Linked DNA regions of Rattus norvegicus. The protein of the gene in region 2 interacts with the protein of the main gene of each other region in a pairwise test. Links are inferred from orthologs where the notes say so. Each region holds a gene or a part of one and is shown on either strand. Other genes may lie near its edges.

Region 1 (3,650 bases), on a different chromosome or scaffold from region 2:
CCAGGCTAGCCTGGAACCCATGATTGCACTGCTTCAGCTTCTTGACTGTTGGGATTACATGTGTGCACCACTTTACCTGGTTGATTAATTTTAATCTTGACAAAAGTGGTAAAATTGAATGTTATAGAGGCTAGAGAGATGCCCCAGTGGTTAAGAGCACTGGCTGCTCTTGAAGACTTGGGTGTGGTTCTCAGAACCCACATAGTGGCTCCCAACTTACCAGTAACTCCAGTCCAGGGAACTGATGCCCTCTTCTGTCCTCCCAGGGCACCAGACACACATGTAGTAAGTACATGCACATATATACAGGCAAAACACTCCTGCAATAAAAATAAAATTTTAAATAAAAATCAATTTAAGAAACTAACTGTTACTAAAACATTAAGAAGTTGGGAACTGACGATATATCTTCATTTTATTTATTTTATGTTATATAAATATTTTAATGGCATGCATGCCCATTGGATTTCTGGTACTGGGAGTATGGGTGTTTGTGAGCCATCATGTGGGTGCTGAGAATCAACCCCAGGTCCTCTGCAAGAGCACGGTGCCCTTAACTTCTGAGTTCTCTCTCCAGCCCTTTTGTTTCCTTAACTGGGGCGGGGGTCTGCGGGGTTACATGAGCAGAGGCATTACCTGTGTTGGCAGCTCCTCTGCCACAGAGCCACATCCCAGCCTCAGCCATGGGTTTGATTTTAGCACTACCAAAATAGTAAAGTGATAGGGTCACAGAGATGGTTAACAGGTAGTCTGCACACAAGCCTGAGGGCCTGAGCTCAAGCCTCAGTCCCCATATAAATGTGCAAGGAGAGGAGGATCAGCTCCACACAGATGCTTCTGGTGACCACATGGGTATCATGGCACACATGGCCATACAAATGTAACACAGTATCTTTTTAGGTTAAATTAAGTAATGGGAAAAAGCAAAAAGTGCCCATTCTCCCATTCTGTGGGGCTCACCCCGCTCTGGGGATCACCCCGCTCTGGGGCATCACTCTGCTTTAAGGGGATCACCCTGCTCCAAGGGATCACCCTGCTCTGAGGGGATCATCCTGCTTTGAGGGGATCACCCCACTCTGGGGGATCACCCCGCTCTGGGGGATCACCACTCTAAGCATTTTGGTGTGAGCCTGGTCCAATTTGATTTTGTGTAGTCATCTACAAGGGATCTTTGGTGATTCTAAGAAGTGAATGGAGTCCATAGAGACAGAGCTCACATCTTCTCAGTCTGCCTTAACATCTTCCTGTTAGACCTCCTTGCTCTCTACCCCACAGTACACCATCTTGAGTAACCTCAGCCCACTGTGTTTACAGGGCCGCGGAGGGCTGGGCTCCATCTTTGTCTGGGCCTCAGGGAACGGGGGCCGGGAACATGACAGCTGTAACTGTGACGGCTACACCAACAGCATCTACACGCTGTCCATCAGCAGTGCCACACAATTCGGCAACGTGCCCTGGTACAGTGAGGCCTGCTCCTCCACACTGGCCACCACCTACAGCAGTGGCAACCAGAATGAGAAGCAGATTGTGAGTCTTGCCCAGGGCTGGGGGCTGGGAGGGGAGGCTCCTTGCTCTCTGCTCAGGGCGCCATTAGGCCTTATCCACTCTCGTCCCTGTGTGGCTGAATAGAGTAGCTTGGGCCTTGTGCAGTTACCCTGTGAGCTGGGGATTCCCCCAGACCTCTGAGGGCTACCAAACCATCCCCGACCCCCTGAGAAGTATAGACTCTCCCTAGAAATATCCCTTATGCTCCAACCTCTGACTGTTTCCCAATTATTCCTTGAGAACCTTGGCCCTAGAAGGAGCTATGCATGGTAGTAAGGTAGAAGCTGGACCTCAGGTGTCTTAACTGATTCACTGTACCATCTAGGGTACCCAGGTCCGATAGACAAAAGGACAGGCAGGTGGCTCCTCCTCCAGATATCCATCAGGTCTCACCACTGTTGTTCCCTGGCAGGTGACAACTGACCTGAGGCAGAAGTGCACTGAGTCTCACACAGGCACCTCAGCCTCCGCCCCTTTGGCAGCTGGTATCATTGCTCTCACCCTGGAGGCCAAGTAAGTGGGCAAGCAACAGCCCGCCCCCACCAGTGCCCCTAAAAGCAGCTGTTTTCTGCAGCCACGGTCCAAAAAGCCTGACCCAGACATTTTCTCCTTTGCAGCAAGAACCTCACCTGGCGGGACATGCAGCACCTGGTGGTGCAGACCTCAAAGCCAGCACATCTCAACGCTAACGATTGGGCCACCAATGGCGTGGGCCGGAAAGGTGAGGGCAAGGTAACCCAGAGGTTTAGGCTCTGAGGCAAGATGGGGGCTCTCCTACCTCCCATTAACCCTTCCCTGCCTCCACAGTGAGCCATTCCTATGGCTACGGGCTGTTGGATGCAGGTGCCATGGTGGCCCTGGCCCAGAACTGGACAACAGTGGCCCCCCAGCGGAAGTGCATCATTGAAATCCTGGCAGAGCCCAAGTAAAGACTGGACCTGAGTGGGAGGGAGCTTCTGGGGTGCCCTCTGTTACTGCTGGCCTGGTTACTGACTCACTGGTGCTCATTGCACAGGGACATTGGCAAACGGCTAGAGGTGCGCAAGACCGTGACAGCGTGCCTGGGTGAGCCCAACCACATCTCCAGACTGGAACACGTTCAGGCACGGCTCACCCTGTCTTACAATCGCCGTGGTGACCTGGCTATCCACCTCATCAGCCCCATGGGCACCCGTTCCACCCTATTAGCTGCCAGGTGCTCTCCATGTTTCCTTCTCATGTCCTACATCATTCCCTCCTTTGTCCCCAAGACTCTAGCCACCAGTAACACGTGGGAGGGACAGCTCGTCCTTGTGACTCCCTCAGCATAGGAGCCCTTGCTTAGACTGCTGTCTGACATGCCAGCCATGTCCCTTGTGAAATAGGGCCCCTGGCTAAGGACACTTGGGAGACAGCTTGCCCGAGATGTGCTTCCAGTCCAGCAGGTTGCCTCGTGGGGAGGGGTGGTGCATGTCCCATGTGTCATGGGCTAGGTGTCCCCTGACCTGGGTTCCTGAAGTCTAAAGCCTCAGATGGCTATAAGGAACTCTCTTCCTCCAGACCACATGACTACTCTGCTGATGGATTTAATGACTGGGCTTTCATGACAACTCATTCCTGGGATGAGGACCCCTCTGGCGAGTGGGTCCTAGAGATTGAAAATACCAGCGAGGCCAACAACTATGGTACTGGACACACTGACAAGTGGAGGGTGGGAGAGAGCCGGTGGGACCTAGGGTGTTAGCAAGGTGCTCACACCCCTGACCCTTTTCTCTTACCAACTCTGGAATAGGGACGCTGACCAAGTTCACTCTCGTCCTATATGGCACAGCCTCTGAGGGTCTCTCTGCACCTCCAGAGAGCAGCGGCTGCAAGACCCTCACATCCAGCCAGGCCTGCGTGGGTCAGTAGTGACGTGATCAAGGCTGGGGAATTGGGGGGAATGGGGTTGGAACAGTGGAGTTGGAGGGGCCAGTGAACTTTAGAGAAAAACCTCCTGGGGACTGTGGGGACTACTTAGGACTGTAGGTCTGTGGAGCCTGGGCGGAGCTCAGGGACTCAGAGGCCATTGTTCACTTGACTAACACGCCCTCCTCTCCTGTGCTGGCAGTGTGTGAGGAAGGTTT
Region 2 (3,650 bases):
ACTTAGGAGACAGAGTGTGACCTGGAACTCTGAGTCATAACAAAGTCTTTCCTGTTTAACGTGTTTTGTCAGGGTATTTTTTTTTAAAAGATTTATTTATTTATTATACACTGTAGCTGTCTTCAGACACACCAGAGGAGGGCATCCGATCCTATTACAGATGGTTGTGAGCCACCATGTGGTTGCTGGGATTTGAACTCAGGACCTCTGGAAGAGCAGTCAGTGCTCTTAACCACTCAGCCATCTCTCCAGCCCCCTTGTCAGGGTATTTTATCACAGCAAACAGAATAGGAACTAAGACACCCTCATAATTATCCCTACCAACTAGCCTGTCTGGAGATCATGTGGCCATTATTAACTCTGGGTGTCCTGGTGACCAGGACCAGCACTTGACAAAACACTGGGCACACCAGAGGTACTCAAAGAAACACTTTGTGATCTGAGCTTGGTAGCACCTACTGGTAACCCCAGAAACCAGAAAAGTCTGGGACAGGAGGATTCCAAGCTTTGGGTCAACTGGGCCTATGATAGGTAGGTAGGTAGGTAGGTAGGTAGGTAGGTAGGTAGATGAGAGAGAGAGAGGGAGTAGGGGGAGTAGGGTGAGATGGTTAAGCAGGTAAAGGCACTTGTCAAGCACCAAGCCTGACAAGTTGAGTTTGTTCCCAGGTCCCACATGAGATAACTAACTTCTACATGCTGTCCTGTAATATACACTCATAATCTATGGCACATGCGTATCACACGCACACGCGCACACACACACACACACACACACACACACACATACACACATATACACATATACGGGGTTGGGGGGGACAGGGACAGACACAGGGACAGAAAGGAAGAGAGAGGGAGGGACAGGGACAGGGACAGACACAGGGACAGAAAGGAAGAGAGAGGGAGGGACAGGGACAGGGACAGACACAGGGACAGAAAGGAAGGGAGAGGGAGAGGGAGAGAAACATACATATATACATATAATTTAATTTTTAAGGTATTTGAAGAAGAAACAATGGGATGACATGGTAGAACATAACATTAATTCCAGCCCTCAGGAAGCAGAGGTAGGTGGATCTCTGGGAGCCTAGCCTGGCCTTCATAGGGATTTCTACGCCAGTTTTAGAGCTACTTAGAGAGACCCTGCCTCAAAAACTACCCCCAACAACTGTGGTAGCTGGAACATGAGGCTCACAGATAGCTCAAAGCCAGCTTGGTCTGCATAGCAAGTACCAAGCTAGCCAGGGTTACATGATGTAGCCTTGTCTTAAAAATAGATAGACAGGGATTGGGGATTTGGCTCAGTGGTAGAGCACTTGCCTAGGAAGCGCAAGGCCCTGGGTTCGGTCCCCAGCTCCGAAAAAAAGAACCAAAAAAAAAAAAAAATAGATAGACAGACGACAGATGTAAACAAGTAAAAACCTAGGCGTGGTGATGAACTTATTAATCCCAGGATCAGGACTTTAAAGCCAGTCTGTTATAATAAAGCAAGCTGTAGGTTACATGAGACCACATCTCAAAAATATAAGAAAGAACTAACAACGGTAGCCCTAGTGTTCAAGCCTTGTGATCCTGACAGTCAAAGTAGGAGCACCTCCATAACCTAACCCTGAGTCCCAGGCCTCCCTGAGATAAAATGACAATACCTACTTTACAAAAAACAAAAAACAAACAAAGCTAGCCCAGCATGGTATTACATGTTCATACTCATAACACTCAGGAACCAGAGACAGGAGGAAAGTGGCAAATTAAAGGCTAATTATAATATTAAAAGTGGGGAGCTGGCTAGGACTGGGATTATGACTCAGTTGGTAGAAAGCTAGCCTAGCATGCATGAAGCCCTGAGTTCCACTGCTAGTACTGCATAAACCTGAGGTGATACAGCATGCCTGTAATCCCAGCATTTGCACAGTGGAAGCTGAATGATCAGGAGTTGGAAAGTCATCTTCAGCTAAAAGCTACTATGAGGACAGCCTAGGACACTTGAGAGTGTTTCAAACACAAAACCAAACAACAATCCCAGAGGAGAGGGGGGTAGGGCACGGCAGGGAGGGGCTTGCAGACCTGTTGGGTTCCCACAGATCAGCAGATCCCTCCCAGCACAGGCAGGAACATAACCAGCTTTCCCAGCTGACCTGGGTCGCTGCTACATCTGTCCTCAAACTGCCCTTCCTCCTTCTGGATGTCCAGTCTCCCCCAAGCAATATACCTCTGTGAGAGGTCGGGGCCGCTTTTCCACTGCAAACTCAGTGTGACACAGCTCACAGTAGCTGGTGTTGGAGGAAGACAGCCATTTCTCCAGGCAGCTCTTGTGCACAGCTCCCAGGGTGCCAGTACAGCCACATGGGGACAGCAAGTTCTCCCCATTTGCTCCCTCATGGCAGATTCGGCAGAAGGGACAGTCACTGGAGGGACACAGAGATAAGACCTGTGAATGATGGATGGTAAGGCTTCTTGTTTAAACTGATATCAGTACTTGCTAGCTTATAAGCTCACTGTCACTCCCACGATGCTATTTGGTAAACCTCTGCTCATCCTTCAACAGCCCAGCTCCAGATGTCCTCTTCTTCACATAACTTTTCAAATTCCCATTGGTAGGCCCATATGTTCCCTCCCCAAAGCTACTGTGGGCTCTTTGTAGCCTAGAGTGAGCAATCCTATCCATCCATCGGCCTGCCTAATGCTCTCTTCTTTTGGTGAAACACTATCATGATATTCCTACATAAATATCAACTCTTTGTGGTCCTTCTGTGGTCCATTCTTAGTCGTTCTGATGTTTTATCTTGTCAATTTGACAGGAGGTAGAATCACTCTGGAGACAAGTCTATGGGCATGTCTGTGAGAGATTTTCTAAGTTAAGTTAAGGGAGTGGAAAGACCCACCCTAAACATGGATGATCCACTCCATGGTCTGGGGTCCTGGAGTGAATGAAAGAGAAGAAGCAGAGACACAAGAAAGCTCAGTGGATAAAGGTGCTTGCTGATAGGTCTGATGACCTGAGTTCAATCCCTGGAGCTCACATGGTGGAAGAGTCCTGACCTCCATATACATGCCATGGCATATACAAATACACATGCCATGGCATATACAAATACACATGCCATGGCAGATACAAATACACATGCCATGGCATATACAAATACTCATGCCATGGCATATACAAATACACATGCCATGGCATATACAAATACACATGCCATGGTATATACAAATACACATGCCATGGCATATACAAATACACATGCCATGGTATATACAAATACTCATGCCATGGCATATACAAATACACATGCCACGGCAGATACAAATACACATGCCATGGCAGATACAAATACACATGCCATGGCATATAAAATACACATGCCATGGCAGATACAAAGGAATGCGCATACACGCACATACAACTTTTTAAAGAAAAAAGCAAAGTGAACACAAGCACTCGTCTCTCTGTTTCCTAAGCTTCCTAACTATGGGCGTAATGTGACCAACCATCTGTGTTTCTGCCATTGTGACTTCCCAGACGGTAGCTTGGAATTGTAACTCAGAATCAATCTTTCCTTTCTTAAGTTGCTTTGGTCAGGTGTTTTGCCAAAGCAACAAGACAAATAACTAATACAGTCCTCAAGGACTATGGCACACACATGATCATA
Region 3 (3,650 bases), on a different chromosome or scaffold from region 2:
GGAGCTGGGGACCGAACCCAGGGCCTTGCGCTTCCTAGGCAAGCGCTCTACCACTGAGCTAAATCCCCAGCCCCAGTGCTACACACCCTTAATCCTAGCACTTGGGACGTGAAAGCAGGCGGATCTCCGTGAGTTCAAGGCCAGGCTGAACACAGTGAGTTAGGATAGCCAGAGCTAGATAGGCAGAGACTCTATCTTGAAAAACATAAGAAACAAAGGGAATTAGGGGAGCACAAGTCTAGAGTATGGGACATCTGCCAGCTTCTCCTTAACTGCTGTCTCTGCCATGCCTAGAGTTTGTGGCATTTGGTAGTCGCACAACAAATTCTTAGCTCACACTTAGCACCTACTGTTTCAGAATAATCATTCAGCTAACCAGCCCCCAGCAAACCACAGTAACTCTCCCCGTCCCGGCTTAGCCCTCGAGGAGGCTGAGACCCAGCAAAGCAAATGCCCACGGTTCTGGGGGGTACTAGAACAGATGATAGGCCGGAGGTGAGCAAAGGCTCTGGCTTTTGGCATCAAACAGAACAGGGGTGACCCGGATGTTTGTTTCTTGGAACCTCGGTTTGTCATCTACAAAGGTCAAGTCACAGCCAGTCCATGGTGGCAGGGAGCTCAAGGAGCTGGAAGGGGCTGGTCATATCAGACCCGCAATGGAAAGAGGAGAGGGGTGAATGCAGAGACTGTCTGCTGCTCGGACTCTCCACTTCCGCAGTCCAGCATCCATTTAGGGAATAGTATTGCCCACTTCAATGAGTACAATCAGGATAATCCTTCCCCCCTCCCCTCTGCTTCCCAACCCAACCCCCCCATCCCATTCCCACGAAAGCATGCTCTGAGACTGCTCTGGGTACACAGATGTCCACTGTCCTATGCCCCTGATCATGAGGATAGGCTAGGAAGGACATGAAGGAGAGATACCCTGTATGAAGCAGAGGCTAGCCCCTAATGGCATTTGGTGATGGTGGAGGACAGGCAGGACCAGAGAGTGTCATGGAAGGCTTAGGAATGCTTCCTCTCGCCCTAGTACTCCCTCACTAGGGAGGGCTGCCTGCACCTGGGATCTTGGGGGGATCCCTGCACCTCTTCATTGTCTTCCCCTCCACAGGCTGTGGCCCCCTCTGCTACTCACGCCGCGGGGCCTGCCTTTCTGTCTTCCTGCTGCTTCTGCTGGCCATGCTTGCCGCCTTGCTCTTGATCGTCACCATCCTGGGACATCCACAGCGCACACCAGGTCAGGGGGCAAGAAGGAGGCTTGGAGGCTCAGGGAGACGGGAGCCCCAGCCCTGCCTGGCTTCTTCCTGAGTGACTTGAGTGGTTCCTTAAGGTGCATGCAGAGGTACCTGTCAGTGTGTGGTTACAAGGCTGAGAGGCTATTTGTGTACATATCCTTGTCATGCGCTATTTTAATTTTTTTATTTCATCTTTATAAAGTTTATGTTTATGTGTATGGGTGTTTTTCCTGCACATATATGTCTATGCCACATGTGTGCTTGGTGCCCAGGGGTGACAGAAGATGATGTCAAACCCCTTGGAACTGTACTTACAGATGGTTAGGAGTATCCATATGGGTGTTGGAAATTGAACCCAGGTCCTCTGGAAGAGCAACAAATGCTCTTGACCACTGACTGAACCGCCTCTCCAGTCCCAGCATGATCTATTGAGAGGTCCTGGTTTTGATGTTTCTTCCTCTAAGAAATTCTCTCTGACCCCTGAGCTGGGCTAGGAGCTTCCTTTCAGTTCCCACAGCCACTGCATTTCTTATTCTCCAGGCCTGGCCAGCCTGGTTAGTACTTTCAACTACCCATCAGGCTGGGCCCAGAAGTTCCCTGCAGTCTGACCTCAGTGCTGAGCTGCCCAGTGCAGTCCCCACCCTCAGGGAGCAGTTCAGAGAACTCTATGAGTTTGATCCAATAAACACTCGGGCCTAATGGGAGACCAGGAGTCTGGAGCCAGGGCTCTCCTCCCATCAGTGTGGTGGGAGTTAGGGTGAGGAGCACCATGGGAGGTGGAATAGACTTGAAGTGAGAAGGGAAAGCAGGGATTGGTTAGCAAAGAGTGTAAGGGATAGCATCCAGCATAGGGACCAGTGTGTGTGGAGTTCCTATGGTGGAAGGAAGCATACGGAGAAGGAGAGATGGCAAGAAGACAGTGGGAGAGTAACAGAGGAAGGGAGTGAGGGAGTGGGCTCAGTGCCTAGGGCCTCAGGAGCTGCCCTTGGGAGGGAGGTCATATGCCAGGAGCTTAGAGAGAGGTCCCATCCTTCGAAGAACTAGCTTTCTGAGAGAGGGCTCCATGGCCAGGCAGGGCTGCTGTAAGGGACGAGGAAGAGGAAAGGTGAAATCATAGCAGAAGGGGGAGTTGCAGCCATAGACCTGTGTATGCACATGTGTGTGAGTGCCCGTGTGCATGCAATGCACATGCCTGCTTGCTTGTGTTCACTTGTGTGTGTGTGTGTGTGTGTGTGTGTGTGTGTGTGTGTGTGTGTGAATGCCTGTATGTGTGCAGGTGCCTGCCTGCCTGCGCGTACATTAATGCACATGTCGGTGTGTCTGTGAACGTGTGTCAGTGCATGTTCGAGTGTCTGTGTGTGCATCTGTTGCTGTATGCATGTGCACGAAGGTACAGGTGTGTGCATGTGAGTACACATGAATGTGTTCATTTTCCTGTGTGCATCTGTGACAATGTGTATATCTAAGGGTGCCTCTTATGACTAGCTGCGGTAGCTCTGGGAATGGAGACATGACTCCTACTGGCTCAAATACACTTGCACATGTGTCCATAGGCACAGCCTATGACCTCCATCTCCTTAAGTCAGTTTCTCCTTTAAATCTTGTGGCCACCTTTAAGGGTGAGCTTAAGGGTAACATTTCTTATGAGTACTTGGAGGAACAATAAAAAAAATTATGGAAGTTTGCTGACTGTTAAGGTATACCCAGCCAGAAGGGATTATGACATGCAGTCCCCAGACAGCCAAATATACAGCTTCCAACAAGCTAACCTGTTCCAGGAGATCCATCATTAAATCTGTATGATGCTGTCCTTAGTGCTTCCTGTGTGACCAAACCACCCTGCACAGCCTGTGAGCCAGTGTCTAAAACAACCATGTTTCCCAACATGCCACCTACCTCTGGGGCTAGGCTATGACCTCTATTTTGAGGACAAAGGACCTTAGGCTATAGAAGGCCAGGTCACCTGTGCCTGTCATGCTGTGGCATAGGCAGAGTGGCAGCTTCAAGTCCACATATGCCTTGGAGTTCAGAGCCTCTCCACTGCCCGAGGCCCTCTAGGAGCTCAAAGGGGCTCCCTGAGGGACCTAGTGCAGTGCCCACCTTGCCCACCCCAGGGCTGCCTGTATGAGTTCTACCTTCACTCTAGGGTCTCTCTTGCCCCTACAGAGCCTCACTCTTGTGTGACACTGGCCAACAGGACGGGGTTCTTGTGCCATGACCGAAGGTACTGCATCCCGGCCCATGCCGTGTGTGATGGCATCCGCACCTGTCCTCATGGTGAGGACGAGGCTGAGAACTTGTGTCGTGAGTACCCCTCAATCCCATACCCCTCTTCATCCCCATAACCACATTAACTCCCCTTGCAGCTCTGTGGACTATCCCTAGGTACCACCTCCATGTCCTCATGCCCATGGT

What was found. The genes of interacting proteins can lie anywhere in the genome.
Region 1: the proteins of Marchf2 (region 2) and Furin interact in a protein complementation assay, tested with the Homo sapiens proteins (2 studies listed by BioGRID). The link is inferred for Rattus norvegicus from reciprocal best matches to the Homo sapiens genes MARCHF2 and FURIN.
Region 3: the proteins of Marchf2 (region 2) and Ldlrad1 interact in binary tests that used the Homo sapiens proteins (3 or more experiments, as listed by UniProt). The two-hybrid records come from large-scale screens. The link is inferred for Rattus norvegicus from reciprocal best matches to the Homo sapiens genes MARCHF2 and LDLRAD1.

What each region holds. Positions count from the first base shown.
Region 1 is NC_086019.1:143,759,403-143,763,052, reverse strand, and holds part of Furin (furin precursor), read left to right. Parts: intron 1-1,314; coding exon 1,315-1,527; intron 1,528-1,957; coding exon 1,958-2,058; intron 2,059-2,162; coding exon 2,163-2,266; intron 2,267-2,352; coding exon 2,353-2,470; intron 2,471-2,560; coding exon 2,561-2,740; intron 2,741-3,084; coding exon 3,085-3,209; intron 3,210-3,316; coding exon 3,317-3,427; intron 3,428-3,634; coding exon 3,635-3,650. UniProt on the Homo sapiens protein: Ubiquitous endoprotease within constitutive secretory pathways capable of cleavage at the RX(K/R)R consensus motif. Mediates processing of TGFB1, an essential step in TGF-beta-1 activation.
Region 2 is NC_086025.1:15,192,745-15,196,394, forward strand, and holds part of Marchf2 (E3 ubiquitin-protein ligase MARCHF2), read right to left. Parts: intron 2,429-3,650; coding exon of another isoform or gene 2,406-2,428; coding exon 2,210-2,405; intron 1-2,209. UniProt on the Homo sapiens protein: E3 ubiquitin-protein ligase that may mediate ubiquitination of TFRC and CD86, and promote their subsequent endocytosis and sorting to lysosomes via multivesicular bodies.
Region 3 is NC_086023.1:127,222,821-127,226,470, forward strand, and holds part of Ldlrad1 (low-density lipoprotein receptor class A domain-containing protein 1), read left to right. Parts: intron 1-1,111; coding exon 1,112-1,237; intron 1,238-3,401; coding exon 3,402-3,539; intron 3,540-3,650.